Caenorhabditis elegans: one gene and its partners. The protein of the gene in region 1 interacts with the protein of each later gene in a pairwise test. Each region holds a gene or a part of one and is shown in the gene's direction. Other genes may lie near its edges. The genes, in order: T07D4.2, tsct-1, dyc-1 and cat-4.

The links.
Region 2: the proteins of T07D4.2 (region 1) and tsct-1 interact in a two-hybrid assay, tested with the Caenorhabditis elegans proteins (one large-scale study listed by BioGRID).
Region 3: the proteins of T07D4.2 (region 1) and dyc-1 interact in a two-hybrid assay, tested with the Caenorhabditis elegans proteins (one large-scale study listed by BioGRID).
Region 4: the proteins of T07D4.2 (region 1) and cat-4 interact in a two-hybrid assay, tested with the Caenorhabditis elegans proteins (one large-scale study listed by BioGRID).

What each region holds. Positions count from the first base shown.
Region 1 is NC_003280.10:8,867,600-8,877,027, reverse strand, and holds T07D4.2 (UPF0046 protein T07D4.2), read left to right. Parts: upstream 1-3,085; 5' UTR 3,086-3,087; coding exon 3,088-3,128; intron 3,129-3,194; coding exon 3,195-3,222; intron 3,223-3,629; coding exon 3,630-3,720; intron 3,721-3,956; coding exon 3,957-4,081; intron 4,082-5,073; exon of another isoform or gene 5,074-5,080; coding exon of another isoform or gene 5,081-5,245; intron 5,246-5,757; coding exon 5,758-6,094; intron 6,095-6,149; coding exon 6,150-6,238; intron 6,239-6,281; coding exon 6,282-6,358; intron 6,359-6,562; coding exon 6,563-6,678; intron 6,679-6,723; coding exon 6,724-6,908; intron 6,909-7,040; coding exon 7,041-7,142; 3' UTR 7,143-7,479; downstream 7,480-9,428.
Region 2 is NC_003284.9:12,430,484-12,437,899, forward strand, and holds the start of tsct-1 (Protein tsct-1), read left to right. Parts: upstream 1-3,613; 5' UTR 3,614-3,670; coding exon 3,671-3,688; intron 3,689-6,153; exon of another isoform or gene 6,154-6,220; intron 6,221-6,975; coding exon 6,976-7,159; intron 7,160-7,378; coding exon 7,379-7,416. Other genes in the region: med-1 (GATA-type domain-containing protein), read left to right, coding at 126-650.
Region 3 is NC_003284.9:14,046,833-14,054,022, forward strand, and holds the start of dyc-1 (Dystrophin-like protein 1), read left to right. Parts: upstream 1-2,702; 5' UTR 2,703-2,839; intron 2,840-2,995; exon of another isoform or gene 2,996-3,016; intron 3,017-3,982; 5' UTR 3,983-3,995; coding exon 3,996-4,112; intron 4,113-4,332; coding exon 4,333-4,404; intron 4,405-4,940; coding exon 4,941-5,095; intron 5,096-5,140; coding exon 5,141-5,249; intron 5,250-7,190. UniProt on the Caenorhabditis elegans protein: Together with dys-1 and hlh-1, participates in a common muscular function.
Region 4 is NC_003283.11:10,561,755-10,568,271, forward strand, and holds cat-4 (GTP cyclohydrolase 1), read left to right. Parts: upstream 1-3,125; 5' UTR 3,126-3,159; coding exon 3,160-3,322; intron 3,323-3,889; coding exon 3,890-3,985; intron 3,986-4,032; coding exon 4,033-4,230; intron 4,231-4,288; coding exon 4,289-4,503; 3' UTR 4,504-4,685; downstream 4,686-6,517. Other genes in the region: col-152 (Nematode cuticle collagen N-terminal domain-containing protein), read left to right, coding at 1-396; vps-54 (Vacuolar protein sorting-associated protein 54), read right to left, coding at 4,901-5,003, 5,050-5,455, 5,500-5,693, 5,747-6,517. UniProt on the Caenorhabditis elegans protein: Involved in serotonin and dopamine biosynthesis that affects movement, mating behavior, foraging behavior, and cell migration.

The sequences.
Region 1 (9,428 bases):
ACAGGATCATTGGTATCTAGCGATCCCTACTCATGATTACAGCAGAATAGGAAAACACCGGCAAATCATTTTTAATGTTGCTGGAACTTTTACCAGAGAGCGAGAGATCATGTCCGTGTGGGAGAGTTGAACTCATACTTGTTCATAATAAGTTATAATCATTTCATAGTGAATAAATTTCTAGAAATTAAAAAAAAAGAAGATAAAATCTGAAAACTAAAGGCGTACACCTTTTCGCATTCAACAAAACTTATTCATGTTGAGACCGGGTACCGTATTTTTGGAGCTAAAATCATAAAATTTTGCATCTATAGATATGTGATAATGTTAGGTGGCAAAAATAAATATAAAATTTCTTTATTCGATAATATTCAAGTTAAGAAATACCCAAAATTATTATTCGGACACGGAACAATTCAATCGATGGATTCATAAAAATGTTGCAGCCATCTGTTCATCCTCTCCGTGTTTTGCTCACCCCCTTCCAAAATGTTCCTCGTCTCTTTCTATTTTAAAAGCATTCGGCCACAGTTTCAGCGACGAAAACAAGGTTTTTGTGGGGATGTGCCGACAAAAAGACAGCTGCCTGGGAGTGCTTGATTTATTGTGGAAAGGTTAATCGAGAAGAAAAGGCTGATAGAGGTGTACGGAAAGAAAACGGAAATCAAGAAAAATGAATGTGTGATCAGGAATCATTCGGATGCATTTTAGATTTAAACTTAAGGTAATGGAGTCATAATTAAAATCCTGGAAAAAAACTCCCGAGGTTCACTAATATTTAACGGACCAATCATCAAGTACACATTTCAAGAATCATCATCAATAAAAATAAAATATTGAGACATATTTACACCACCCTCAATATTAAAAAGCACGAGATATTTCAGATTACTGCGGGTCTAGGAATAGTATTTTTAATTTTCGATGTTTAAAATAATCTCAATTCTTCATATTTCTCAGTTCTCCTTTATCTCAAAAATTCATTTGGTTTTTTTATAATAGGTAAATTACATGTGTTCTAGGGACTGCATATTTAAAAAATTTTTAATTTTAATTACAGCTTTAAATTACTAGTAATGACCAAAATTGCTGTCTGCTTACGTGCCTACAAAGTGTACCTCGCCTTTATAATAACCGAAGACTTATTTGTCGTAGAGAAGATTTATTTGAGCGGAGCCACATTGCACCGGATGCCTTTTTCGTGGAAGGCATACAGTTTTGGCATTTGGGTGCAACTTTCTGACAATTTTTGCCCCTGAGAAACGTGCGCAATCTACTTCCTTCTAAAAACTAACCAAATTGTTTTAACAGCTTTCATGAAGTTTCCCCTAAATGCTATCCCTTTTATCTGAAATTCATAATTGGCTCAGCTTTACCAGCTTTCCAAATATTTCTGGCTTTGACGCACTTTAAATATATTATTTCATTAAATCCTAAATATAAAGTTCACTAGTTTTGTCAAGAACACATCCAAACAACTCGGTTCCTGTGTACTATTGCATCTTGTGACCTACAAACTAGTCAAGGATCTTTGAATTTTTACCATAAGTACCCTTCAATAATATCTCCCAGCTCCACCAATTCAATCAAGTTCAAGATTTCAAATTGATTGATGTCGACAAATTAATTGAGAGTACAACTCGATCCGCCCTCATCAAATCCTAATCCATCACTCGTAATACATCGACCTTCTTCATCAGATCTTCCCTGTTTTTTGTGCACCACTCATCATTATTATCTCTTTCCACCAGACTCTTCTCTTTCAGTCGACTCTTCGGCTCAACTTTGATCCCTTATTGTGACCCGTTGTGGGGTGTTAAAAAAGTTTATTGATGAGTTATGACAAGTCTTTGTGGTGAGACTGAGAACGATGAGGTGGGGGAGGAAGGTATGAAGGTGGAGCCATTGTGTGCACAAAGTGGTTGCTACTGGTGGTGAGTAAATCAACACCTGATGAGCTGTTCAAAAAACAGAAGCAGAAGAAGAACCAGTCACTTTACTCTTTGCAATGTTTTCAGCTTTGCTTTCTTATTTCTATGATACTAGTATTACGTTAGTTTCGCATTATATTTTTTCAGAATTTTAGCTTGAATTTGTTCACTTATAATTCGCATATCACTACATATAACTTGAAATAGAAATGGAAATAGTTAATAAGATAATGATGGAAAGATCAATTGAATGACTAAAAATAAAACAATTAGAACTTCTGAATGAGTTTAGAGGTAGATTATTGGCTACTGGACCTTCGTAACAGTATCTATTTGTAAATACTTATAGTAGTTTTTGTAATTAGTCTTTACTTATACTAGGGCAATACAAAAATATATTCTGAATCGCTACAGTTTGGATGAAATCTCAATAAAAACTAGGCTCCAATTTTTAACCTTTTCCAAGTGTTCAGAAACTTTATTTCTACAGTTTAGAGTTTACTTATATTTTCCTATTCCACTGCATTAATTTTCTCATAATAGAACATGTGAGTAGATAATTTCTATGTGATTTATGTGATACGTTTGGCATATGTTGTACTTTTTCTCAGTTGCACACTTATCAGCTTGTGACCTGGTGGCACTCAACCCTTGCCGTCTCTCGAGATACATTGTACCGCAATAAAGATTTGAAAAACAATACGACATTAGCAAGAGCTGGTCCAAACTTGTGCAAGGTATGAGTGGCGTTTCTATTGAGAAAACACGGTCTACTGTATTTTAAATATCTTGATAAATGTTATTTGCTCTGTTAGTATAAACTTTACCAATTATGTCATTGCCAACAGCTATATTCAACTACGTCACGAATCCTATGTCTCACTTCTTTGCAACAAAAACCCTTGATCTTTTTAATCACATCTTTAAATGAGAGTTGATCTCATTAAACTACTCATTTGCTCAAGAAAATTCTGCACTCAATGCTGAATTGCTTTGTCCGTGTTTAAGTACCTAATTCCATGATCCAGACACATCTTATCTCATTCCGAACATTCCCGAACTTTCGTGTCATCCTTCACTTCACTTTGTCACTTCTCAAAAAGTTGTCGTTTCTTCTTGCTTGTCGACCCAAAAAATCATCGAGATTTTTGCAGGAATGCTGAGTCCTGCATTGCTCAAAGTGTCACTCAATCGAAGGTTCGTCAATGATTTTTTGTAGCTGCACTCATTGTTTGTTTTATGTTTCAATCTTTGTGTTTTCAGAAGCTCCGCTCCTGTACCACAAGATGAGGTGAGCCAATTGGTATTGAAGAAGGATAGAACTCTGATCAAATGGAAAAAAGAGGAAGAAGGGGAGGGGGTTAAGATGGATAAGATGGAAATGCTGGAGGGAAGAAGAAGATGGAAGGTTTCATTGGCGGGTACCTTTGAGAACCATTCCCGTGCTTTGGTCACTTGTCCTGATTTTTTCTTCACTACAACCTGATTTTATGGAGCTATATTCTCAAACAGAAGTTGATAGATAAAGTGTATCACCATTCCGTTTAAAAACTGTATTTGTAAAAGATTTATGTCTCAGTTCCTTAACATTTTTGGTAGTAGTCCTCGAACCTCGAAGCTACAAATAATAATTTGCTCTATTTATATGATACTTCCACTTCAAAACATTCATATTTTAACATAATATATTTATTTCAGAAAATGATGTTCCATTCGCGAAACCGGGCTGCATCATATTTGCAGCCGATGATAGAAGATCAGGAATTGATTGGATTCAACAGAGATAGAAGTGAGTTCATAATTTCTTTTTGCCTCTCTCCCGATTCTCGTAAAAAATGAGAATAAACAGCAAAATGTGTAGTAAAGGTTGAATAACGTGTGAATACCACGATGGCAGCTTCAATGTTCTTCTTTTAAAATAAGTTATTAACTTTATAAAAAAAACCAGAGAACAATTCAGATTGATTCTCAGAAAAAAAAGAATACTTCCGTCTATTTCTAAGTTGTCATAACTATCTTTATCAGGAAGAAGTTCCGGCTCAATAATCGTCGACAGTTTTGAACTCGGAAATGCTTCGCCAAGTCGCCGCGGTTCAATTGCATCTGGCATTCCAATGGACAAAAAAACCCGACGGAAGCTGTCAAATCCGGTAGGTTTTCTATGTTGTTAGCTCCCATCAACAATTGGAAAAACAAAATGAAAGATAAAATGATAAATGCGTTCGAGCATGATACCAATCTGATGAAAAGAAGAAACAATCTATCTCATATTGAGTCGGCATACCAACTGACGTTGGAGTCTCTACTTTTTTGATTTAAACGAAAAAAAGAAAGAAAAGATATCTGAGAGCCGATGATGGTCGTCTTTGATTCACTATTCATCAGATGATCCACTGACGAACATTTTCTCACCTTTCCCTGAGATGTGCCAGCCTATCAGTTTCATTTTTACCGAGTTACCGACCTTTTTTTTTCGTAATTTTTAGTTGCTTTTCGGGGATTTTTTTGACTACGAAATTTTCTCAGTAATTTTTTATTTTTCTTCCTTTGAAGAAAACATTTTGCTCGATTTCCATTGTTGCTCGAGGTTATTCACAGTTTTCTGAATGTGAAAAATTATGAGAAAACGCGGCTCCCATTCTTTCAGACTTTCTCTCAAACCTTCAGTATTTTGAAACATTTCAAAAACTCGCAGAGCATTCGTATTATGGTAACTTGTCCAGGCGACCGGCAGTTAGTTTCATATTCGTCCAATCTTTCCAATCTAGTTTCAGCCGAAAACCACTGCTTTCCCAAGTATACATATATTTAAAAAATAAGAAAAGAGAACTAACTATTAACAGAAAAAGAACGGGTAACTGAATATCCTTCTGCATTTAGTTTGATGTATCCTTCAAAAAGATAAGGAACAAAAAGTGACCAGCACATACATATATCGGATGTCTCGTTTGCAACTTTTGGCCTCCCATCCCATTTCCTGTCACCTCGTGACCTCATCGTTAGATCGAAAACCATTTGAGTGCAGTCAATGTTTTTGACACACTTCAGATACTCGCCATAAATCTTTTGAATCTTACTTCTCCATTCAATCTTTTCGGCTCTATTTCTTCATTTGTTTCTTTCTTATCAATTGTTCACACAGCCTGAAAATGTTCTCCAAGTCGAGCAATCGGTTCGGAACAACTTCTATATTTGGGGATCAGTCTATTAAAGATGAATACCGTAACCGACAGAGACGTCTTTCTCTGATTGGTGGACCTATAAGTGGAACATCTCCAAATCGACGAGAATCACTTGTTCGAGAGTTAAGAACTGTAAGTTCAAAGAGTCTTTAGTCGCCAGCTGTTGTCAGTTCAAGCTTGTTAACAACAAATTACATGGGGGGCCAACATTTGTCAAAAAATTGCTTCCATTTTGTTATTAGTACGAACAGAAATTGAAAAAAAGAAGTAAAAAACTTGAGTCTCAATTTCCTGATTTATTTAGTTCTACCACTAATACTTCAATGTATTTCCTAAGGATACACAGAAAATCTCAAGATTCTATAAAAAGTTGGTATTCAGAGACTAAAATTCATAAAAGACCGGTACGTTTTTTGCATGCCGTTTGGCCCAGTTTGTGTTTTAAACCCTATGTATAGCAATGTTTATTTTTAATGCTATATTTTCACAGTATAATAATTTGAAAATTTTAATTGTATTGTTATATCCGGTCAAAGGTTGACAACAGCCACACAAGCCATGTGTTTAATGTCGTTAACAACAAGATGAATGGGAAATTAATTGCTCCGCAAGCTTCTCCTTCAGAACAATACATTTATTTTCAGGTATCTCTTCATCAATACACAGAAGATCCAACACTTGCATGGGAAATGCTGAAAGAAAAAAGACCAGTGAAACCAGTTCGTCAGATGAGACTTGATACTCCAGTAAAACCAGATCATGTGAGATTTGTATGTATTGGATGTACACATGGAGAACAATTTGATATATCAAAACTCCCACCTGGAGATGTTCTCCTCGTGGCTGGAGACTTCACATCATGCGGTCTTCCAAATGAAGTTCACAATTTTAATAAGTTACTTGGAAAACTGAAATACTCTTACAAAGTGGTGATAGGTGGAAATCACGAATGCACATTTGACGACACATTTTTGAAATTGAGTAAGTTCAACTCCAATAAACCATTAACGATCAATCACCACAACAAAATTTGCAGAACAAGAGTCTGAACCAAAAGAAATGGCACTGAAACAAGCATTGTTATCAGCAATTCATTCTGATTCAAAGGGTGGAATTTCAGCGAAAGTAAGCATGATTTCAATTTATGAAAGTATACAATTTTTTGTAGGATTTGTTATCAAATGCAATTTATTTGGAGGATAATGTAATCGAACTGTTTGGAATCACAATTTATGGAACGCCATGGTAAGGATTGCAAGTTTTCTGAAAAAATTGTGGTAGATTCAAGTCGAAATTTGAAACAATTGTCACCTTCGACAAGTATTATCATTATATATTTTGTAGATCAATAAAAAATATAAGTTCGAATTGAATATTCTTTCTCACAGCATAATTCTATGAGTTCCATATTGAACCCATTGTATCAAAGCACAATTTCAAAAATTGCAGGCAACCAAAAGTAGACAATTGGGCATTCAATCTCTCTCGTGGACAACAACTATTGGACAAATGGAACCTGATCCCGGCGGGCGTTGACGTGCTTTTAACTCATACACCTCCACTTGGTAAGTTCAAAGTACCACAAATAGTAAAACACAAATTTTGTGCAGGACACGGCGATATGATGAACAATGGACAGAGAATGGGATGTGCCGAGTTGTTGAACACAGTTTTCAAGCGGGTTCGACCAAAGTATCACGTTTTTGGACACATTCATGAGGGCTACGGATGCACAACTGATGGATATACAAAGTTCATTAACTGCTGCATGTGTAATGAAAATTTGGATTTAAAGGTGATCATTCGTGAATTTTGACTTATTGAGAAAAATTGGGCATGACTCTGGGACGACTTTATTCAAGCAGCACACAAATTTAGACTATCCATGATTATTAAATTTGACAATTTCATCGTTAAAAATTTTCAGAACGAGCCAGTAATATTCGATATCCCAGTGCACCCTCACACCAAACAATTCTACATTCAAAATGTGAAGAAAATTCATAAAAGATTCCAAAAGAAGAAATAAATTAAATTCCTCTCACTGTCACCTCTGTGTCATTTTGTAGTTATAATTATACCACCACTTTTTAATTTTTTTTGCTCTTTTTCCACACCACGACCATCATCATCTATTTTTCTCACTCATTGAGCCCTCCTCCAACCCCATAAGAACAAAATAATATCCCATCCGGAAATGAGTCTTTATGAACTCGATGCGCAGTCAACAGCACCACAAAAAGAGCAAGAGAAGGTTGATTGTGCTTCTGCTGCGACAGCTTCTGCAACTGCTTCTTCTCGTCTTCCAATTCTTCTTCTTTCACCAAAATTGCTCCCGCTAACCAGCAATAAAACATTCCAATTTGTGAGCCTCTTTCGAGTCAAACATTATGAAATTCAATACCAAATTATGCTGCAACCTCCTCTTTTGCCCTCTGAAATCAGATATTGGCCATGTGTGGTGCGGTTCCGGCAGTGCCGGCTTCTTGCTCCACACAGACAAATCTCTTTTGTTATTCATCGATGTCTTTTCTCAGAGATATCATCAACATTAGACTTTTTTCGATTTTACTGAAATTCATTATTTCTAGACCAGAAATATCTGAAACAGGGTGAAATCTAGTCAGAATGATTTCCACCCAGAGTTGTTTCATATAGTCTGTAATTTTTTAGATACAATATTTTTCTTACGTCAGACAGTATCCACCGTGTCAGTTGAGAATACACATAGGTTTTAGTTTTAAATCACCACAAAAGCTAACAAGCGCCACATTCAGTTGCACGTAGAAATTAATCTCTGACCTAGAATATATGATAGAATAGAAAAAGGAACCAATCCATTAGGAATAATGAAAATTCTTTGGCAATTTTTTCCGAAATGAATCACAAATGAGAAATGACTCATAGTGAGATTTGAGATCATCTAAATTTAAAATAAAAGTTTCGGTTCTAGGTACCAAAAACAGGTGAAAAATGTGTTTCACCTCTAGCTAGGAATCGAAAGTTTGAGAGAACATTTCTGGAAAAATTATTTGAAGCAGTTTAAAAGTCTTCTAGGATTTTCTACAAAAATTTGTGATATTCTTTTCTTTTAGTGAAATGAAAAAAAACGGATTTATTATTTATAAATATCCGTAGTTATGCGGTTTAAAAAAATTTATGAAATTGACCCAGTACAGAACTTCAATTTCACTGGTAGAATCAAAGTTTGAGTAAACTCGGAACTTGTTGTTTACCCTTGAAAATGTTCAGCCTCCTCACGTATTCTTAAACTTTTCATCACAAACGTTCACATCACTCTCATAAAAAAATCTGAACTAAAAAACCATGTGGGCTGTTTGACAAGAAAACACATGAATAGATTACTCAAATATGGATCTTCGAATGTTTTAGACGACAAGGAAGAAACATTTCCTCTGAAAAGTTCGCATCTTTGTGCAAACAAGGCATGCGTTCAGAGATGTTTGATGTTAAAGTATTACCTTCTTTTATGGAAAAATATGTTACGATTCCCAGTTTGCATCCTAGTGACTTCAGAAGGAAAGCTTTGTTTTCTGAATATTCTATTATTGCTTTTTCAAAGGGGGTCATTTACATACACTCGTTCCCCTCGTCAATATCCAAATATGCGCTGCTTCTTTTTCGTTTTTGTTTTCGATTTTCATAAAATGATGGCATGTTCATTAAAATTTTGAGTTACGCTCTTAAATAAACGCCTCTTCAAATGGAAAACATTGGAAAACAGGAAAAGGGCTCAAAAGTTCACAATTTCGAACGCAATCCAAAATATTATTTTTATAGTTCGAAACATGAAATTCTTAATTTAAATGTGGAGTACGGCCAGTAACGAAATGATTAAAAACTATTCTTATGGTGCTAAAATTACAAACTCAGTTTTCACCGCTGTTCGACTCGAGAAAAAATTCTAAAATTCTAAAAAGTTTTTTAACGTTATTTAGCAATTTTAAAACTATAGAAAAAGTTCTTGACCATTCTCTCACTTGGCGTACTTCACTCTTAAGCCACTAATAACATTTATATTTTTCAATTTTTGAACTTTAGAGTACTCTAGCAATTAACTTGTTTTTCAGAAATTCAATTTTTCTCTCCCACTTTTCGCAAAGTTTAATTTTTCAAAATAATTGTACTCTCCGTTGCTATACGTTGGTTTCTGTTGTGGTTATTTCGACTTTAGAATAAAAATGCTCAAATAGGAAAAACAAACCACTTTTCCTACCAAAAAATTCTTCTGAATTCTTTATTCCAATTTCTTGTCATGTTCCGGTTATTAGGGAATGTGTTCAAAAAGTCAATT
Region 2 (7,416 bases), on another chromosome or scaffold:
CCTCTGTCATCATGATGATTTTTGGAGCATTATCATCATTTCTAGTGGGTGTGGTCTACAGTAAAAGATCCCAAAGATTATTAGTTTGAATCAGTTTTCATACTTTATTCCTTCTCTCTAGCACTATGGCCTACCCTTACCCCGTTTTCAATGCTGAAAATGTCTTTGACAATACCCAGCAACAAGTTGGATTCTATGATTATTCAACTCCATTCAATGGTACATACTCCTTTACTACTGACTATTCTTATTATAATAACTACTATGACTATGTCAATACTTATGCTTCTTATTATCCAACTGCAATGGATTCTTCATCTTTAAATATTTCATCAACTACTGGAAGTCCTAATTCTTCACATTTCACCACGTTTACTCATTTTTCCACTCCATCTACATCTCCATCTACCTCTACTCAAAGTTCAACTACACCGAGCAATTCTGATAATAAGAAGTCATTTCAATGCTCAAATTGTTCAGTAACTGAAACAATTCGTTGGAGGAATATTCGATCAAAGGAAGGAATTCAATGTAATGCTTGTTTCATTTATCAACGGAAATATAATAAGACTCGTCCAGTCACTGCCGTTAACAAATATCAAAAAAGAAAATTAAAGGTACAGGAAACGAATGGTGTAGATTCATTTTAATGTAAATTACATCATTGTAAATTGTATAACTCAATTGTAATTTTATTGTTTTAAACCGGTAAAATGTTTTTAATTAATATGATTTCATAACTAATACATTTATATTTAATTCTTGTTCTCGATTTTAATTACATCATAACTCAAGATTTATAGAGGAATAAATTTAAAATTAACAAACCCTGTATCGTTTTGAACTTTTGTTCTTTGTTTTCCCAACAGCGCTGTTCATTTTTTTCAATCTCGTCAGCCAGAACAGCTTTATATATGCTTAGGATTTAGAGAATCCGACAGCGGAAACCAAACTTTTGCAGAAAAAAATTGTGGACGGGAGAGCGAGACAAAAAGGGCCGAAATGTGTTCTTCAGTCATTGCTTTGAAAGGTTTCACTTTTCTAGTGAGTTTTGTTTTTCGAAGAACTTTTTGAGCTGCACTATAATTCTTGTATTAGATGTTTGTTTTTCAATAATTTAGATTTAAATTTTTCTGTGATGTGTACTGTGACCATGCGATTGTCACCCACTAGAAATGTTGCATTCTGAGTCGGAAAATGATGCTTACTATTTTTAAAATTTCTCTCCAATTTTTCCGTGTTTATTGTCACAATCAACCCAAAAATAGAATATTAAATCAGTTGGTTTGCACTCGTCACTGAATTCTGATTCATTGTTTCGCATAAAGTTATAACACCTTCTCTAGTCACCCTAGTTTCCATTTGGCCTTCTGTCTGCTTTCTATAGGATTGGCTACATGGTACATACATCTGTTATTTGTCATGCTGTGTTCATCACAAAAACTTTACCCCATAAAAAGTGTCATACAAGGAACACGAATCATTGAGTGAAGTGTGACACAGTTTTCAATTATTTAACATTCGCTTTGTTTTAGTAGACTGCTGCTCTTTTTTCTTCAAAGTAAGATAATCTGGAGGACAGACAGGAAGTTGTTAAAGTGATGTATAAATATCGAATATGTTTAGTTGAATGCAGTTTTTTTCGAATAATTTGTTGCACAGCCCGTACTTGTTACACTAGTTACTTTTTCTCGAACTTTTGATGTAGCTTAATCATTTTCCCCTTTATTTTTTATGTAAGAGATAGTACTTGTAAAGTGTAAAACGTTATTCAATATATACCAAGAACAATTACACCCATATTCGAAAAAAAATAGTTGGGATTGTGATTTTTCTCTACCTATTTTCAACATTGCCAAATTAATACTTTGATAAATTCTCTAGATATATATATATATATATATAATATATATAGATACATTTGCATGTAGATCATTTTTCTCTGAGCTCCAAGGTTAAATTCCCAATTTGTGCAGGAAGATTTGCCCAAAATACCTGTCGATTCTGTTTTCAGCAAATTTGGAAAATCTGGAAGCATCCAATTGTTTGTTTGCAGCGCAGCCATTGGAATATTTTTATTTTTTAATTTTTTCCAGTCCACTTTTGTTTTGAAATTACAATTTTTGAAGTAATGTAAAAAGTAGAAAATAGCCTTGGGCAAACAAAACTTTGAAACAAAATTTCATTAACGTTTTTGCCCCCTTCCTCCGCCCATTTCCTCTTCTCATCCCATTCGAATTTTACCCCATTGGGAATTTCAATTCTTGTATCAGTTTTGTTCTTTTTTAGTTTTAAGAAAATTGGCATATATTTTTGAAAAAACGTCATTTTGATCTTGCAGAACAGCTCTGTTTTGTTTTGTGTCGGGTGGTACCCTAACACCATCATTCTTTCATTCAACCCATAAAAGCCAGCCGTCACAGAGGAACACATTTGAAAAAAAGGGTTCCGCGTCTTTTTAGCTTTTAACTACCATCTGCTCTCTTCCAAAAAAGGACATTGAGTGCTCATTTAATTTTTCTGCTCATTTGTTGATTGGGTTTTTCTACACTTTGACATTCTTTAAAATTATAATTAAAAATAAAATCTTTAAAAATAAAATAGAAAACAAGACGAAAAACATCCTCATAACTCCCTAAAACTAGTGTTTATCGGATTAGATACACATAGAGACGTTCGAGAAATTCAATTTTTTTATCTCATCGTTTACGTATTTTATGTATTTGCACATGTGCGATGAGCATTATTTATGTTACAACAAACCCGTTTTTCCTCATATTTCATCTTGCCATTCTCATTTATTTTCTTATTTATGATATTTGAAAATAACAGAAATTATTTTTACTCTTAATCAGATGAAATACTTTGCAAATATCATAAATGTTATAATTAAAACAATTGAAATTTTTGTTGCGAATATTTAAAACATACAAAAAAACGAAAAAATAAACATACTTAATGTTCCTAGTGAATATCAAATTTCTCTGTGCGTCCGCAAATGCATCACGTGGTTTTGTTCACAATTTCAATTAAAAAACTTCTTGAACTTTAAAAATATGTGTTCACACATTAATTAATTTTCACAAGATCTGTAACATGGGGCATAATTTTTGTGAATTTACCAATCAATCATTAATATAAGATAGTTTCACGTAAGTTCAACGCAAGTTTAAAAGTGATAAAAAAAATCAAATTTTGCATTCAACTTTGCAAATTTGTTCTCAGGATGAAACTTCTTGAAAATTTCACAAAAGTGTTTTTTCTTTTTCTTTTTAACGGTTGAAAAGTTTAACAAAAAAATACTCAATATAGCAAAATTCTAAAATTTTATCAACTTTACCCTGTTGTAGAAATTGAGATTAAACTAGCGAATTTTTCATAAACGACACAAAATTTCAAAATGAGGTTGTGATTAAATAATAATATTTTTTCCAGTCGCTCCGCGGACAAGTGGCCTAAATTTAAGATTCCTGCGGAACCTCAATTTTTAAAATTTTTTACTCAAATAAAAAGCAGAACCGTTACTCCTTCTTATGGTTTGCGTTTATATCTTCACAACTTTTTTTGCTCTCTATTGTCAATAACGTTGGTTTTACAAGATACAAATAACTTAAAGTTTCAGGGTAGTTACAGCTAAAAGAGACCGCAGCAAGGGATCCTGTCACTGAGAATGTTCATCTTTGCCGCAGTAAGTGTTCATTTTTAAGATAAACCACATGACCTTGTCTCCTTATGATCTGCCTGATCAAACAACCGGCTCTTCGTTGTCAATGACCTCGTGTTTATGTATGTGTTTTGTTTATCTCCAGCACGTTTTCCAAATCTAAACGTTTTTGATGGTTGGTTGAGAAAGAGAAACTCTACGCAATTTTGTTGTCCTTTCGTTTTGCTTCTTCACCGTCGCCAATGTAAAACGCGTGACTGCCGCGAAACAAACTCTAAAATACAGAAATCGTGAGTCAACTGTAATTTTTTCGACGATTTCCTTTCTGATTCAATTCCACATATCGATTTTTAGAATGACACCGATTTGCATGAATTATCCGTACCCCCGTCAGTCTGAACAGCAACTTTTCTTTTTAACTTTTTGATTTCTGTTGTTTAATCAAGTGCTTTTTGCGTTCATAAAATATAAGAATAAACAATAACTAAAATTAGAATTTCTTATTTTTACGTATTTTTCCTTCAACAGCATATCAATTTAATTTGAAAATAATTTGTCTTGTTCAATGTTAGGAATTTCGCAAACGTTTAGTTGCCATATGTACAAAGATATGTATAAAGAATGTGGAACATTTTCTTTCAAAAATTGAAAATAATTTATTCTAGTAACATTTTTGAACACATAAATTTCAAGTATAATCTTGAAATTTTTTCATGTCGTTAAAAAATCAAATGCAACGTAATTTGAAACACCTACATTGTGAGACTTTTGCAGAAAACAAAGTTAAAGGTCAATGAGACCCTCCGAATACGAGTGCCAAAAGTATTCAATTAAATTTCCAGTTTTTACGCGATGAAAAACACCAATCAACAATGAGCCAAAAGTGTGGTGTGCTGCTCTTTTCCAAGCGTAACATTTAAATTGAACTTCTGTTTGAAAAATGAGGAGAGCATATAGAGCCAAATGATACAAAACCACTCTCATGATATTAGAATTTCCGACTCCTACCCCGACCCGACCGACCCAAAAAATGGGGCGACCCACTCCACAGGCCTAGTCTTACATCCCTACGGACCAATTGAAAATTAGTCTTGCATGCAAGAATAATAGAGAAAGCTTCAAAGCTAATTTGTTCAAAAACAATTTCCTTTTTGGATCTTCTCCGCCTTCAAACTCCAGTTCAGAATGTTATGTGTCCAATTTTCTTTTGCACGTTCGCTCAAGAGTACACATGACAACTACATATTATCTTTTTTATCAGTTCGTCATTTGATTTGATCGCTATTCATGTGCCCTTTTCATATTTACTCTTCGCAACTCTTTTGTGAGCACCATTGTTGCAACCACAACTTGCATAATTACTACAGAATCGAAGTTTCAAAAAAAGATTGCATTCTATCTCGCGCTCCCATGCGCTTTTTTCGTTTTATTTGCGATTGAAAAATAGCTTTCCTGCTTTGCGGGCTATGCAGAGCAGTAGTTTTCAATGGTTTTGTCTGGGCACACAGAGAAGCGTACAGTGTGATTGAAAAAGTGGGGTAGCAGCCAGTATAGAGCAAGAGAAATGTACAGCATTCAATTTTTCATTCGTTTTCTATTTTGCTCTTATAAACTGTGACATTTCTAGTGACTGAAAACGAGAAATCGCAGTGTCTTGTTTAAAACTCCCTCAAAATCTTTCTCTCTGAAATAATAATTCAGAAGAATTATATATTTTTCTTTTTGACAATGACTTCAAATATAATCTCAGAAATCTTACAATTCACTGGAATGTCACAGTCATAATCTCGTATTATTTGTATCTGAAATAGACGTTATTGCGCCATGTCTAGGTGGCTTTGTTAGAGAAAATACGCGTTTTTCTTAGCTCATCTATTTTTTTTTCTTCTTGCAAAAAGCTGACTTCTTGTTGCATATTCATTGAACGTTAGCTTTTTTGGCAAAGGTTTATGTAGGATTATTTGTAAGACTTGAGTTTTAAGCTCTAAGAATTTGAAAAAAGGTATGAAAAGCTACCAAGTTTTTCATTTTTCTAGTTACGAAAATTGGCTTTCTCTTTTTTTCCTTCCAAACTAGTAGAAAAAGCACTGCCATTGAAATTAAAAAAAACAGTTTTCAACAATTTTTCACAAAGCGGAAAACTTGAAAAATAAATGCTTTTTTAAGTTAAGAAAATATGTCGTCACAAAAGTTCTTGCAGATTTTGCACTGTGCTTTCATAAAGTTATTGGGCTTTCTTGAACTGTTGTTAGTTGTCCTTGATGTACTTCAAACTTTCATAAATTCCTTTTCCAATTACAGCGTTCTCAAACTATTAAAAAAATATGATTCAATAACTGTCTGCACCATTTAGAGAGAGAGAGAAACTAAGCGTTCCTTTCTTTCCTGAAAAAAAAACAAAGTCTCATGGGTTTACTCAGATGACAAAGTAACACAAAAAAACAGAAAAAAAACTCCAAAGTTTCCGTGCCAAAAGTTGCGCCGTCGTGTCTATTTACTTGACACACTTGCCATCACACTTGAGCAAGTACAGCTGTTCCTCAGCACCGCGAGCACTTTTTCGAGAAAATTGAAATTACGTGTCAATTCATGTCTCCCACAGCAGTTCATCAATCATTTGCTGCATGTTGCGACCAATTTATCTTTTCGTTTTTTGTTCAAATTTGAAACAGAAATTTCGAATAAGGGTTCTTGAGTGTAATCAGTCAACGATTGTGATTTTTAATGCGATAAAAAATCCAGCATATTTTTTGAAACTTATCTTTGCCATTTTTCTTCAAAACAATTTTTAATTTGCTCACCTAACCAAATTAAAGGCGAAAGATGTTTTTTTTAATATAAAAATGTCGTACGTTTTGTTTCCCAAAATACATTAATTCAAATCTATTTTGGTCAAATCGTTGTAACTTTTGTTCATATCTGTCTTGTCCACGGCGCAAAAATGTTATCAAATTTTGCTAATTAGTCATCAACTTTTTTTAATTTCATAGGTTCTAATGGCATTAGTTAAACGATGTGTACAAAGATGTAATTATACGCTTTTCAAATATATGCAAATTTTTCTTGATTAACTATGTGTCCAAACGACTAAAAACCGTTAATCTTACTGTTAATTGAAAAAAAGTATTTGAATCTGTTATAAGTCATCATAATTTTACCAAAAATCTAAAAGTTTCAATTTATCTTTAGTAGAACAAATGTATATTTTAATTCTTGTTTGTGAAAGTACAGATTTTCTTGTTTTATACACTACTTCTAAAATGCTAAAATGTTTTATTGTCTATTTATTACTTATTTTTTCAACTTTTCAGGCTTTCCAACAGAACACAATAATAATGAGTACTACTTCCAATGAAGCATCTGTGATTGAGGTCGTTCCTCCAAATGCAAACTGTGACAAGCCGAAGAAGAAATTCCAAGTTGTTCCGGTTCCAGGAGAGTTTACACGTGGCAGATGGAAAGTGATTGATACCAGATTTGGGTCGGCAATGGGAGGTTAGTTTAACTACTTGAAAACGAATAATTTATCAATTTAGAAGAAAATCAATAAATTTATTAGATACCAGTTCAAAATTCCGAGCATAGAAGTACGTGTTTTAGTACGTGTTTTTAAAAAAATGTTTGAGGTTGTTGAAGTACCAGTGAAAATCTTTTTTCAAAATTATTGATTAAAAAAAAATAAACTGGACAATAAACACAATTTATTTTTTTCAGAATTTGGAAATTATCCTCCAGAAGACGAGTACAAGATG
Region 3 (7,190 bases), on another chromosome or scaffold:
ATTGTATTTCTTTATTTTAAAAAAGTTTAAAATGTATTTGTGCAGCATTTTATATTGTGAGCACGACAAAATACAATTTTTTTAACCCATATAATAAACGCCTAATTAAACACCACAATATTTATCAAAGAGTGATAATTTAATTAACATTGAGTTCCAGACGCTGCGACGCCGAGAAGTTGGGAAAAAAAATTAATTTTAGCTGAAAATGAGCTTTTTTTCCAGAATTTTCAATACGTCTCATTACAAAATTCGATAATTTTTGTGCAATTTTGGGTCTAAAAAATAAAAGCCTCAGATTTTGGTGCTTAACCTTCAATGTTTAATAAAATATAAATACCCTCAATATTTGATTCATTTAGATTGTAATAGGTATTTGCACAATTAACCGTTTTCTGAAAATTAAAATTCTGGTGTCAAACTGTAACATTTTTTTAAATATGATATATAACATTGACGCTGCAAAAACTGAAAACTAAAGGTCTATCCTGGCCTCATCGTATTATATGTACTTACAATGCAGGGCTAGACTATTTTGAATTTGGCTATCACAACTGGAACTCTTTCAGTATAAGTATAATTTTGTTATTTTTAAATTACACAACATGATCTTGGCCCAAATGTTTTTGAAGTTGATGGTTCCACATCTAATTCTGACAAACATTCCAATCCACAAAAGTTAATCCAAGAACTGCCGAAAAACATGCAACTCTGCTTCGTTTTCTATTCAGACGCCTTCCGAAGACACATTACATCAAAAATGTTGGCGGAAAAAGGCCAACGCAAGAAGACGAAGATGTGGTAGATAGAGTAAGATAGAGTAAGTTTTTGGAGCAAGGCTCCCGACAAAGTCAGTCACAATAAAAAAGAAGATGTGGAGGAATAGGATGAGGAGGAGCGGTGACTCCTCTCCATCACTCCAACAAATCTAAACTCTTCTACTCGGCAATTCTATCAAAGAAGGAGATGCGCATAAGTCAATCAGCTACAAGTGCACCCATACATGCACACGCATGCTTCCTAAAATCACAACTAATTGCGCAAGACAAGACGATGAGAGAGTACGGCACACACGCAACCGCTTCTTCGTTTTCTTTTCCCCGCCGACCGCTTTTCTCTTTTTGCCCCTGTTTTGTCCTCCATTTTCCGATTTTTTTTTCTATTTTCAAATCGATTAGGAACTGAGTGATAGTGTGGATAATTGCTTCCAATGTCGCAGAAGAACGGGTGATGAGACGATATATAAAGAGCAAAACTTGCATGCTTTCATCTTGATTTTTGTTGCGTTTCTTTCAAATTTCTAGAATATAACTTCGTATATTTGCTCTAGTGCATTATGCTACTGCCAATATCTAAAAAAAAGTATGGTTTCCTTTTTTTTGAAATTTGTTTCCCAATCGCAAACTATGTGTAATTTTTTAATTCATATAGTTTTCCTAAATAGTGAAGCTTTTTTTTTGTTTTTATCATGTTTCACATTGACATCAACATGTAAATAAATACAGTTTTTCAGTATACGAAACCACGTAAAATAATTAACACCACATTTTTTGTCACAATGTTGGAAATTCAACTGACATTAATTTTTTTTTGAATTATTTTTAGATGCATTGCGATAATGGTTTGGTATGCCATTCTACTTGTACCAATCCGAAATGTTTGATATTGCACTAATTTTCCTTGTATCATTGCTTTTGTAGTGAATACTATCAGCTTTTTTCAACTAATCAATCAGAGAAACGAGTTTATAAGAGTTGTGTCACTTGGTGTCAGAGTGTCCCATTTTGGTTTGATCTACGTAGATCTACGGAATGTGCGGGGATCTAGACGCAGACTTCTCGACAGATTTTTTTGGCATTTTTGAAGGTGTGCTGACGTCGCCTTTTTTGTAAATCAAATCGTAATGAGACCGCTTGCCATCACGTGCTGTGTTAGTAATAATGGTAATTTTAAAAATTCATATGAAAGCATGGAACTACTTGAAAAATACAGTAACACAAGTTTTGTATTGTATAATATATATAACATTACATTTATTCATTTCAAATCCATGAAAGTAGAAATATCTTTCCCCCGCACTGACAATCATATTTGTAGCCGTTTTGTAGGCGCCCCTCCTCTTTTTTTGCGTTTTTATTTTATTTTTTTCTCTCAACACATCTTCAATCTTTATATTCCTATTTGAAAACGTCTCCAGGGAACCTCGCTCATCGGTCTCCCAACCAACCAATTTCCAGTTTTGTTCGGCTCGCAACTTCTTCTATTTCTTCTGTCCCCCCCCCCCCCCCCCCCCCCATCATCCTAAACTTCTTTCCCTCCTTCTTAACATCGGCTTCCGTTTTCCTCCTGTTTCCATTCTCATATTCAATTTGCGGACGGACTTTTGGTCAGTCCACTTTCCTTAAAAGTCCTTTTAGCTACACTACCTACACTTTTCTCTGCATTTGCTCTTTTGTTCAATACTCCCTTATCCGTTTTTCCTCCAGGAAAATGATCAGAAGCAAAAATATTTGGTTTTAGTGTTTAAAATTGCGTTGCCGCATGAGTTATTCATTTCTTCTTTCATTTCCTCTCTCCCCCATCTACTTGGCCCATTGTTCCTCATCATTTCTCATCATCACTCAATTATTTTTCCTCGTTTGCTCTTTTTTCATAGTGTGCCCTTTTTGTCATTTTTAGCAGCTTAATCACTGAGTTTTCAGCGAACCTCACCTCTTCACCCAACGTTTTCCAACGTCACCACCAGTTTCAATACGATATCCAAATTGTCCTGATATCGGACAATTGCTTCGTAGTATACTGGCTCATGGTAGCTGATATACTCGATATGCAGTTGAAGGTTTGATACGGTTTTGAGTGAGCGTTTTTTTTCAGAAATGTTTAACAAGTGTTTATTGTCCATTTAGAAACGGAGTAGCATCAGTAGGAAAGTTGTTTAGGGGCTGAAAAGTCAGAATATGAAACTAACAATTTTCTTCAAAGTGCACAAAAAATCTTTGTTAATTTACAGTTGAAAGCATAGTAATTTTTAAAATGAATTTCTAATAGTGTACCTAAAACATGGACTAAAATATCAATACATTCGGAAAATTGTTGAAAATGTTATCTCTTTTTCTGCTGATTTTCAGCATAAATAACATTCTGGCACTACTTCAACTTTTGTTATTTTTCCACCTAGGGCTGGCCATCTGGACGTCCGCCCACATGGAGTCACCATGGGTGGCAAAATAAGGTGGAAATTTTTTTTATCACAGGAATTAGGGGAGCTTACATCCTGACATTTTCTGGGTTCCGCTGCTTACTATAGAAACGCACGCATTATCACAATGAGACGCGGAACACAAAAAAATGTCGGGATATACGCTCCCATAAATCCACGAATGTTCAAAACCGAACGCCCGATTGTCCGAAAATCAGTACATTCGGAAAGGCCAGTCCTCTGGATTACCAGCCCTATCTTAACCTAACAAAAAATTGGTTTTGAAACCTCATGGCCTTTTCTGCGTGAAAATAGTTTTAAAGTCCAAATTTTCTTTCTGATAAAATGTTGTCTTGCGTAGTATCATGTAAATATTTTAATTTTCATTATTTTCATCTGCACGAAAACATTTCGGTCAAGTAGAAAGTGCAAAAAAGATGTATTATTACGGAAACGCAATCCAGTAATATTATTAATAAAAAACATTTACAAACCAGAGGCTCTGTACTTTATTAAAATTGACATTCATTCAGTTTTTTTAAACATGTTATGTTTATAACAAGGAATTTGTAATCGACATACGTCCTCCCGTACTAACAGCGATTTGCCGAGTGTCTAATACCACTTTGTTTTTGATTATTGTTTAAAATTCACTTTCTTCAAAACACCCATGTTTTTTATTGCTGAAACCATCTAACATCTTGTTTTACTTCTCTAACCGTTTTTCTTTAATACTTTTTTACTAACATTTCCACCATTTCATCATTATTTCATATTTTACAGAGGTGAGGATATAATGCCTGTGCGGAAAAAGCATGGTCCGTACGATATCATCGCCGACGATGTCTACGACTGCCGTATTCCACTCCATAACGAACTCGCTTATCAGCATGGTATTCATTTCGAAGCAAAGGTTTGTGAAAAGATGTATTCGAATGTTTGTACAACGCTAATCTTGTTTAAACGAACATTGAATATTCTGAAAAGCCCGGAGGGTGTAGATTAGATTGTCTTCAAGTTTGGTCCTAACGCGTTTGCAAATTTAATCATAGTGGGAAGTTTAGTTTTTTTTTTCTTTCAAAAAGAAAACAAAAACAAAACTACTGGATTTAATCCAAAAAGGGTTTTTGCAGTATGTCGGAAGCATGGAAATTCCTAGACCCGGGACGAGAATCGAGATTGTGGCGGCGATGCGACGAGTTCGAGTGAGTTTTTTTTATAAAAACTCGCAAATAGAGATATATTCAAAATGAGCTGAAATTTGCAATTGAAAATTAGTAGTATAATCTAAAATTTGTATAATTACATGGTTGCAACATTATTATTAGTAGTGTAGAAAATAGAATCGTAATACTTTGAAAGATCATAATTTATTGAATTTTTTACAAATTCTACACTTGCTAGTGTTTTCTTCTCTACAATTTTTTCGTTTGTTAAATCAATCAATATTAAAGTCAGTAAATGCTAGGCGTTGATTGAATAATCTGCCACACTGCAAAAAAGCTGATACTTTTTTACCTAAAACCTATAGTCGTATCTAAAACTTTTTTTGTTGATTAAGGAAACATAAGCAATCAATATTTGAACAAGCATATCATCGATGTGAATTTGAATTTGACCGTGTCATATTTGTTGATTTTGACTGACTTTTTCTTAAACAACCAAATTGAAGTGTTTGAAGAAAACGCTTTTGAAAATCTATTTTCCTAATTCCTTGATTATTGAATAAAACCATTTTCAGTACGAATTCAAAGCTCGTGGTATCAAAAAACGCCCGGTCGACATTACCGTATCCGTCGATGGTGTCAAAGTTGTTCTTCAGCGGAAGAAACAGAAAGAGAAAGGTCTCTCTTGGGATGAATCTAAATTACTTGTCATGTTTCACCCAATATACAGGTATTGTTAAATTTCTGTAAAATTGTTATTGTAAAAATTTTGAAGGATATTCTACGTGTCACATGATTCTCAAGATCTTCAAATATTTTCCTACATTGCACGGGATGGAGCTAGTAACACATTTAAATGCAATGTATTTAAGTGTTCTAAAAAGGTTAGTCATTATTTTCAATATTATTATTATTATTATTGAAGTAGTACTGTGATCAAATTTTTTTTTAGAAAGAGCGTCGAAAAAGTTAAAATGTTGAATTTTTTGTATATGGTGAAACTATCGAATTTGAAAATTTATGTGGTTTTCAATTAAGTATGTATTACATGAATTTTTTTTGAATAATATTTATAGAAATGAATACCGATGTTTAATCACTATACAATTTCCCAACGCGTTGTTAATCAGTTCCCACAGGTGTTACATTTCCGAAACTTCCCATTTTCGAGAAGTGGCGGAAAAACTGATTTTGTTCACAATTTAGAATATTATCCGACTCAAAAATTTTTTTTTCATATTGGCGATACTACTCTTGTAATTCTGTAAATGCCCCTCAATTTGAAAAATTGAATTGTCTACACACTTGTCCACACTACCCAAACATTTTTCTACTATCAAGAAAATGCAATTTTCATTTAAAAAACTACAGACCTTGCTGAAGATTTCGTGATTTAAGATGATAATAAGCTCTAAGACTCATTCAAATTTTTTGTGGCAATAAGTATTTTTCAAACGTTTTGAACAAAAATTATCGAAGAAAGAACAAATGATAATCAGAATTACCATGCAATCCTAAGTATTTTCACAGATTATACTTCATTTGAAAGCAAGAAAATAAAATGTATGGATCAAAAAAGCAATATTTTGGCTTAAAAAAAAGAACAAAAATCAATAACATTGTTTTCTGCCATCGTAAATTACACAACATCATTCACTGGCTTCCACTTCCAGGTTACACTCGGCCTATCCTAGACGTTTTTGTTGGGTTCACATAACGTGCTCAATGTTCTTCATGTTTTTGAACAGACAGACAGCGAAAACTTTTCGGAGCTCATCAACGAAACATACATGTTCTTTATCGTGTTGGCGGAGACCAGTTGTCTGCTTTTCAAAATCTAGTTTTTTTACTTTTTCAAGTATCGTGTTCGCAGACCTTGTATGAAAAGTATGAAAAGTAGCTGCAAGTTTTGGTGCCCAGCATATCTGACGTTTTTAGTGCAAAATAAGGTTTTTGGGAGACTTATGTGTGGATTATTGAAACGCCTTAAAATTGAATTTTTTTTAATTGATTTCTTTTTTATATTAACATGATTAACATGTTTTTTCTTCACTTTTAAACCAGCCGTAAGTCGAATGAAATTTGAACAAAAAATAAAATTTTGAAATTTTTCTCAGAGAAAAATACAAACTCAAAAAATTAATTTTAAAATAATATCCATTAGTACACACTTATCGATTTTTACAAGCTGTTCACAATTTCGATTTTTTTTCTTGCAAGAAAACCCATTTTGAAAAAGTAATTTCAAATCAAAATTTAAATTTTGTGGAAGCTAAAAAGTGTTTAAAAAATATTTTTATATGTAGAAAAGGATTCCCAATTTCAATAAGATGATACGAAACTTTCCAAAAAAGTGTAGTAGAAGTATCATTTTTAGAGAGAACTTCGAAAAGTTTCCCCGTCTTCATTTTTGAGAATACCTAAAAAAAATAATTAAAAAATTTGTATTTCTTCTGCTGAACAATCGCCTGCGGCAATTCGTCGCAACTTAAGAACCAACTTTAGCGTTTTGCAACTTTTTACTAAGCTTGCCTGCTTTAGTCAACTTTATCGAACTGTTTCTCAACTTTAGCAACTTCTGCGTTTGGCATTTCTAAAGTTGTTAAAGTTGGTGGAAAATTGCCGAGTAGGGATTTGCGTTTACTTATAGCATCTACAGGCTATTTGAAACCATTTAAAGCAAAATCCCAACAGACAATAGCATCTCTTTGAATGTTTTAACGCAAAAATTGCCGATTTCTCTCTAGGGAAAGATTCCAATTTTCTCTCCCAACCTGTGAACAAAGATCCTTGCTTTGGTCATAATTCTTCTCCAAAAACAACAA
Region 4 (6,517 bases), on another chromosome or scaffold:
GAGAATGGCGCCGATGGAAATCCAGGTGCTCCTGGAGAGGTTGGTGCACCAGGAGATCAAGGAGGTGCAGGAAACCAAGGGGCTGCTGGAAAACCCGGCTTGCCAGGAAAGAATGGACAGAGAGGATCTGGTCACCCTGGACCTACTGGACCAGTCGGTGAAACGGGAAACGCTGGTAACAATGGACACCCAGGAGTTGATGGAGAAAATGGAAAACCTGGAACTCGCGGAGAAGCCGGATTGCAGGGAAAAGAAGGTCAAACAGGTCCAATTGGACCAGCGGGACAAAAAGGAGAAAATGGAATGCCAGGCCTAGATGCTGGATATTGTCCATGCCCGGAGAGAACTTACGGAGTGGAACCAATGCCACCGGCACGTCAATACGAGGGAATATAAGTTTTATACATATATATATATATAAATTATGTTATTCTATTTTCTAGTTGGTTATTGGCTTGTTGGTTTTTATAATTGAATAAAAGTTAACAGCAAAAAAATTTGTAAAGGTTGCATGTTGCAGATGGAAATTGTAACATAAATTGACATAGTTGACCATTGTTTAAAGTAATATAAAGTTTATCGTTATTCTATAAGAAAAGAGAAGAAGATGGATACTTTCTGTTTATTTGTTTTCCTAATATATATGATTATTAATTTATGATGCTTTTAACGGGGTTTTTCTGAAATGCACCTCTTTTTATATCAACAGTCAAAATATTTTTGACATTTTGTTGAGTGTTTTGTATAATTGTACAAGATTCGTTGTTTATTTACATACATAATTGAAATACGAAAACCCACAATCTTAATTAATTTATGCTCAAAAAGGTGACCTTTCGTAACTAAATGCTAATGACCTTCAATTGAACAGAGGCGCTCGAAAATTAGTTCTGCATTCTAAAGTAGTACTGCAGTTTTTAAAAGTGATGCATTCAAAAAAAAAACCCAAAAATTAGTGCAGCACTAATAGAGAATATACGGTAAGCCTGTAGAGTTTGGTCTAATAAAGTCAAACTTGCGGTAATAAAAGTTTGAAGTGATTCTTATCAGGAAAATAAATAATTCCAAATCACATAATCCAGTTCATAATCTATTGACTCTTTCAACCGCGCCATTGAACATTCTAGTCTAAAAAATTGTGCAAGATGATGTTCACTAAATCATCACCAGTCAGAAAACCGTATTCCTTAGGACACTCTCTATGTTACTTGTTCTCTATGTTTCTGACGTAATCGCCGTCACTTAATTAATCCCGCAAACTCCTTTTGTGCACGATCTTATCTCAAAGGTGACAATTCAAAGTTCCTGAACCAATTTATCATGCAATGATTATAAACTCCATATAAATTGCGGCTTCAATTGGTAGTACATCATTAGCGGCGGCATTTTGCTTATGCTCTTATCTTATTTATAGTTCAACCTAATAAATTGCGGGGAACTTCCTCTACGAGTGTTACGGTATTATTTGGCAGTACTTTTCAGTAACAACTTTCGATTTTAATTTTTTACTTTTCAAGAATATTGACAATAGCTCAGTTTTTTCAAATAGTTCTTTTTGATTCTCAATCTCTAACTCTGAAGAACCAAAAGTTATGAGAGACTTCGAATAACCCAAAAAATCCTGATCATAACAAAATAGTATTTCAAGTTTTCTTGTTTTCATTCGTCATCACCTCCTCCCAACTTGTACCCAATCAGCCCAGAAATCGCAAATATAAGAAACGATATCTGATGAAAAAGAACTAGAAAACTAGGAAAACATTTACAAGTTCGAAACGCCTCTTCCCTCATCTTCAGCTGATTTTGGAACCGTTCTCGTCATTTCGTGTGAATGTCATCAAAACACATCGAGTCTGCCGGGAAAAAAAAGGCGTGGGTTTGATCTTTCTACTAGCTTTAACTGTTTCAACGAAATTCTTATGTAGGTAGTTAAGTAGAAGAATAGAAGAAAGTGAGTGTACTTCTTTAGACCCCTCAATTCTTTTCATTTTCTTTCTTTACTTTCTCATTTTTCCACCTGATGATGACTTAGAAAGGAAAGTAGTTAAAATTTTACAATTTTTGAAAACCGAAACTGTTGAATGAAATCGTTCCCAAATTTGAGGTCCTACTTTTTTGACATGGTGAAATATTAGAAATTGTATTTTATTTTTGTGGCTGTTGGCAGTATATATGAGAGTTTAACACGGTTTCTGTGTTGTACTAAACTCATTAGTAATTTTTTTGCCAGAATCTAGTTTATTTTTCAGATTGGTTGTTTCGATGAGTAATATTATTAGGTGTGATGAGTTTTAAAAATAGGAGGAGTATATTCTACCACATGTGATCCTATTATTGTTTTTAAATAACTTCCCAGGAGGACCATTTGATGAATTTCGTGAGAAATATATGTGAAGTTTGATAAATTCCAAATTTCGTTTTGAATATAAAGTTTCTCAATTTTTTCGATTGTAGTGCATGAAAGAGTAACTTGTAGATATTAATCTGCCAAAGTTTCGGCAACAAAACTGATAGTGAACTAGAAGTCCACGTGAGTGAAGGTCTATATCATTCCTCGCTGATTTACGATCCTTCTCTCTGTATCTCCTCAGACCAGTCCACTTTTTCTTTTCTTGTTGCGCCTATCCACCTAATCAATCGGTTTCATTTTCTTTTTACATGTTCCTTTTGTTTGCATAAATAAATTATTCTTCCTCCACATTTTCCTGAATACCTAGAAGTGCTGCCATGAAGGAATGGCGGAAAACGATTGATGTATGGGACGACGTCTTCCGTTTCTTTTTCGATTTTTTGCTATTTTCTTATTCTTTTTTTCTCATTTTTTCACATAAGTGGGAAAAGATGATGAAGTCTATCCATTCGACTAGATTGATTTCCTTCTGTCCCTTCATTTTGCCTATTTTTTCCCAGAATACCTTTCATAATACATGACGTGTTGTACCTTTTTTTTTCGTAATTTCTTCTTTCTTGCTTGGACATTGCACATATTCGGTTTCATCCGGCAATTATTTGAATGTCTATCCTTTCTTTTTGTCGCCTACGCTTTCTCAGCTTTCTTAAGATTTACCCACGGCTCATTTTCAATATCACCTTATTTCACTCACTTACTCAATCAATGTTTTCAGGCTTTACCCACTCTATCAACATCATAATATCAAAATGTCCAGAATTGAGAACGAAAGCGGATTTTTGTCATCTGACGCCGCAAGTGTTGGATCCGAAGACGATAAAGTTGAGATGAAGAAAAGAAACGGAACGATTCCAAAGGAAGATCATTTGAAATCAATGTGCAATGCCTATCAGAGCATCATTCAACATGTCGGTGAGTTCATGTGATTCTTTGGTTCGGAAAGTATTAGTCGATCAACAACAAATTTAAAATAAGCTGTTTAAGAATAGATTATAGAGTTCTGAAAACGTACTGTCAACTGTTTACGTCAGCAGAATTAGGAAAACTTTGGTTTCGATAAACATTTCAACACACTTTTTGATTCATTCTAGAGATTATAATGTTTTAGCATTTATTCATTATCAGTGACTCAAAGAATATTGATAAATATTTTCCCAAATATAAATTTGACCAAGATGTTTTGAAAGTCGATGATCTATAACTGATAGTTGTTATTGTCTGGAAGGAAGTTCAGTTCAATATATTCCACTCTCAAATCAAAAATCAAGATCGAAAATTGTTTTAATTTAAAGACTCATGACAAATTGTAATCTATTACATCACGCAATCAAGGTACCCTAGCACATCATCAGGAACTTGTGATTTCAATTGATATATCTATAACATAAATCAGAAAAAAATAGGTTGTGTCCGTTGATTATAAGGGAAAAAATGAAAACAAAATACATTTTCCCACGTTGACTGATTTTGGGAATTCAGGAGAAGACATCAATCGTCAGGGACTTCTGAAAACTCCAGAACGTGCTGCCAAAGCAATGATGGCATTCACAAAGGGATACGATGATCAACTTGATGGTCAGTTATAGCAATACAACGTTAAAGCTCAAAGTTTCATTTTTCAGAGCTCCTCAACGAGGCAGTATTCGACGAGGATCACGATGAGATGGTTATTGTGAAAGATATTGAAATGTTCTCCCTTTGTGAGCATCATTTAGTTCCATTTATGGGAAAAGTTCATATTGGATACATTCCAAACAAGAAGGTTCTTGGTCTGTCCAAGTTGGCAAGAATAGTCGAGATGTTCAGCAGAAGACTTCAAGGTAAATTGAGAAATTACATTTTTGATTGGAACCTAACCTAAACGTTCAAATATTTCAGTCCAAGAACGTCTTACAAAGCAAATTGCCACCGCAATGGTTCAAGCTGTACAACCATCCGGAGTTGCAGTTGTTATTGAAGCTAGTCACATGTGTATGGTAATGAGAGGAGTTCAAAAGATCAATGCTTCCACCACAACATCCTGCATGTTGGGAGTATTCCGTGACGATCCAAAGACTCGCGAAGAATTCCTTAATCTTATCAACAAACGCTAAAAATTCTAGTCATTTCCTTTTTTACTTGTTTTTTTGGGTTTTAACTGTTACTAACTTTTCATAACTTTCCATGTGAATCTACTAACATCTTATGCTTCAGCTTTTTAAATTCATACAACATGTTCATTGCCTGGATACTGTAATATGCTTTTATTGTACATGCAATAAATTACTAAATACCAGATAAATAAAAACAAAAACAATTAACTGGGAAATGAAAGTGATAAAGCTAGCCCAGAAGCACAAACTAAAAAATTAGGAATGAAGGACCAGTGAATTGGGGAAGTTTACAGAAGAAGCGTGAAATAAAAGCCACCGTAATTAGTCAAACAATCACAATCATACACAAGAAATAAACCAGATTGAAAATTAAATAAATATTTTACAAAGAAAAGTCCTATTCAAACATAATGTCATTAAGCGACTCGAGCTCCAAATTACGGCAACTTTCCATGTTTTTCACATTTTGTTGATAAAACATGTAATCTTTTGTGACATATCTGAAAATAGTACATTATAGTTGAAATTTCAGTAATTTATTCTTACCCGTATTTTAAAGGGTCATGAGGTGTGATACCCATTCCAGTGACGTGTTCTCGTAAGTTGGCTTTAAAGTTTTCGTGTACTTGACGGAACAACGCCTCGATCTGATCTCTTGGCATGATGCCAACCAGTCCATTGTGGAATTTCAGCATATGGCGACAAATTTGTTGAAATTCTGGCGATGGAATCACTCCTTTCACATCCCACATTCCAAGACAATTTGTTGTATAATGAGCTATTACACTTATTAATTTGGCAGCAATTTCGTTGACGTGATCGCGGTATTCACTTTCAACCTGCTTGAAGTACCGAAGCAGACTTTTTCGATTTTCAGGAAGAACTCTGTCCATCTCATCATGAACCATCGGAATGAAGCGGCATACTAACTCGAGTGATCGACCTGCGAGTGCTGGAAAAAAGAACACTTTTTACGGTAAAACTTTAGAGCAATACCTAAATTTCGAACAGATATAGTCTTTAATCCAACCAATTGTAGGGCACCTGCACCTAAAATCAATTGACAACACCGACTGTTAAATGTTTTCAGTAATTCCACAACTCGCGAATTCCAGTCTTGGGAAAATGATGGCATTTCAGATATGGCTTCACAGTAGTCAGAAAGGAGCTGGATCATTGTTATTGATGATCTGAAATTAAAATATTAATATTCGTAATCCTAAATCCAAAATTTGAAACAAACCCAACAACAACATAGTTCTCTTCATCAACAATTACACCTTGAATTTGATTTGAAGTAGATGTTGTTGAATCAATTGTCACAGCGCTTTCTGTTCTTTTGAATGATTTTTTTATTGGACCATCATCTATTCGCTTTGTGTTTCTTAATTGGCCCGTTTCCATCGCCATGTCGACAATGTTCTGATCCACAATCGAAACATCAGTCGCTTTCCAAAGTTCTGTGTCAAGCATATTTCCAATACGAATCTTTCGAGCTGCATGGAATTTTTCAATGTAATCCATAGAAAGCTTGTTAACAGATCTTCCAAGACCTCCAACTTTTTGATTCTGAGTGGAATACCATCCTTCCTTGTCACACTTGGATTGAAATTCTTTAACGAGTTTAATGCATTCAGATAGTTGGGTAGGTGTAGTAGCTTCTGTCACTGATGCATTTTTGGCCCGAGCAATGAGCAATCGTGAAATCCGTTGTTGCGCACATTGATGACCGAATTCTGCGATCAATGGGAGCACGTGTCGTAAAAAGGCTTCTGATCTGACTTCAATCGAAAGAAGAGTGGTAGCTGACGCGTTAGAGGATAAAGCCGAACCACCGACGGAGAATCCTCCTGAACTAGCTGATTTGGAAAAAGTTGTACCAACTTCATCGTCAGACTCAGATTCGTGAATATCTTTTGCTTCTTCGATTCTCTCAACTATAATATCTTCAGAGCCATGTCGATGTAGAGGATTTGCTCGTTCAACAGTTTCCAGTAGAATATCTTGTAGAGCT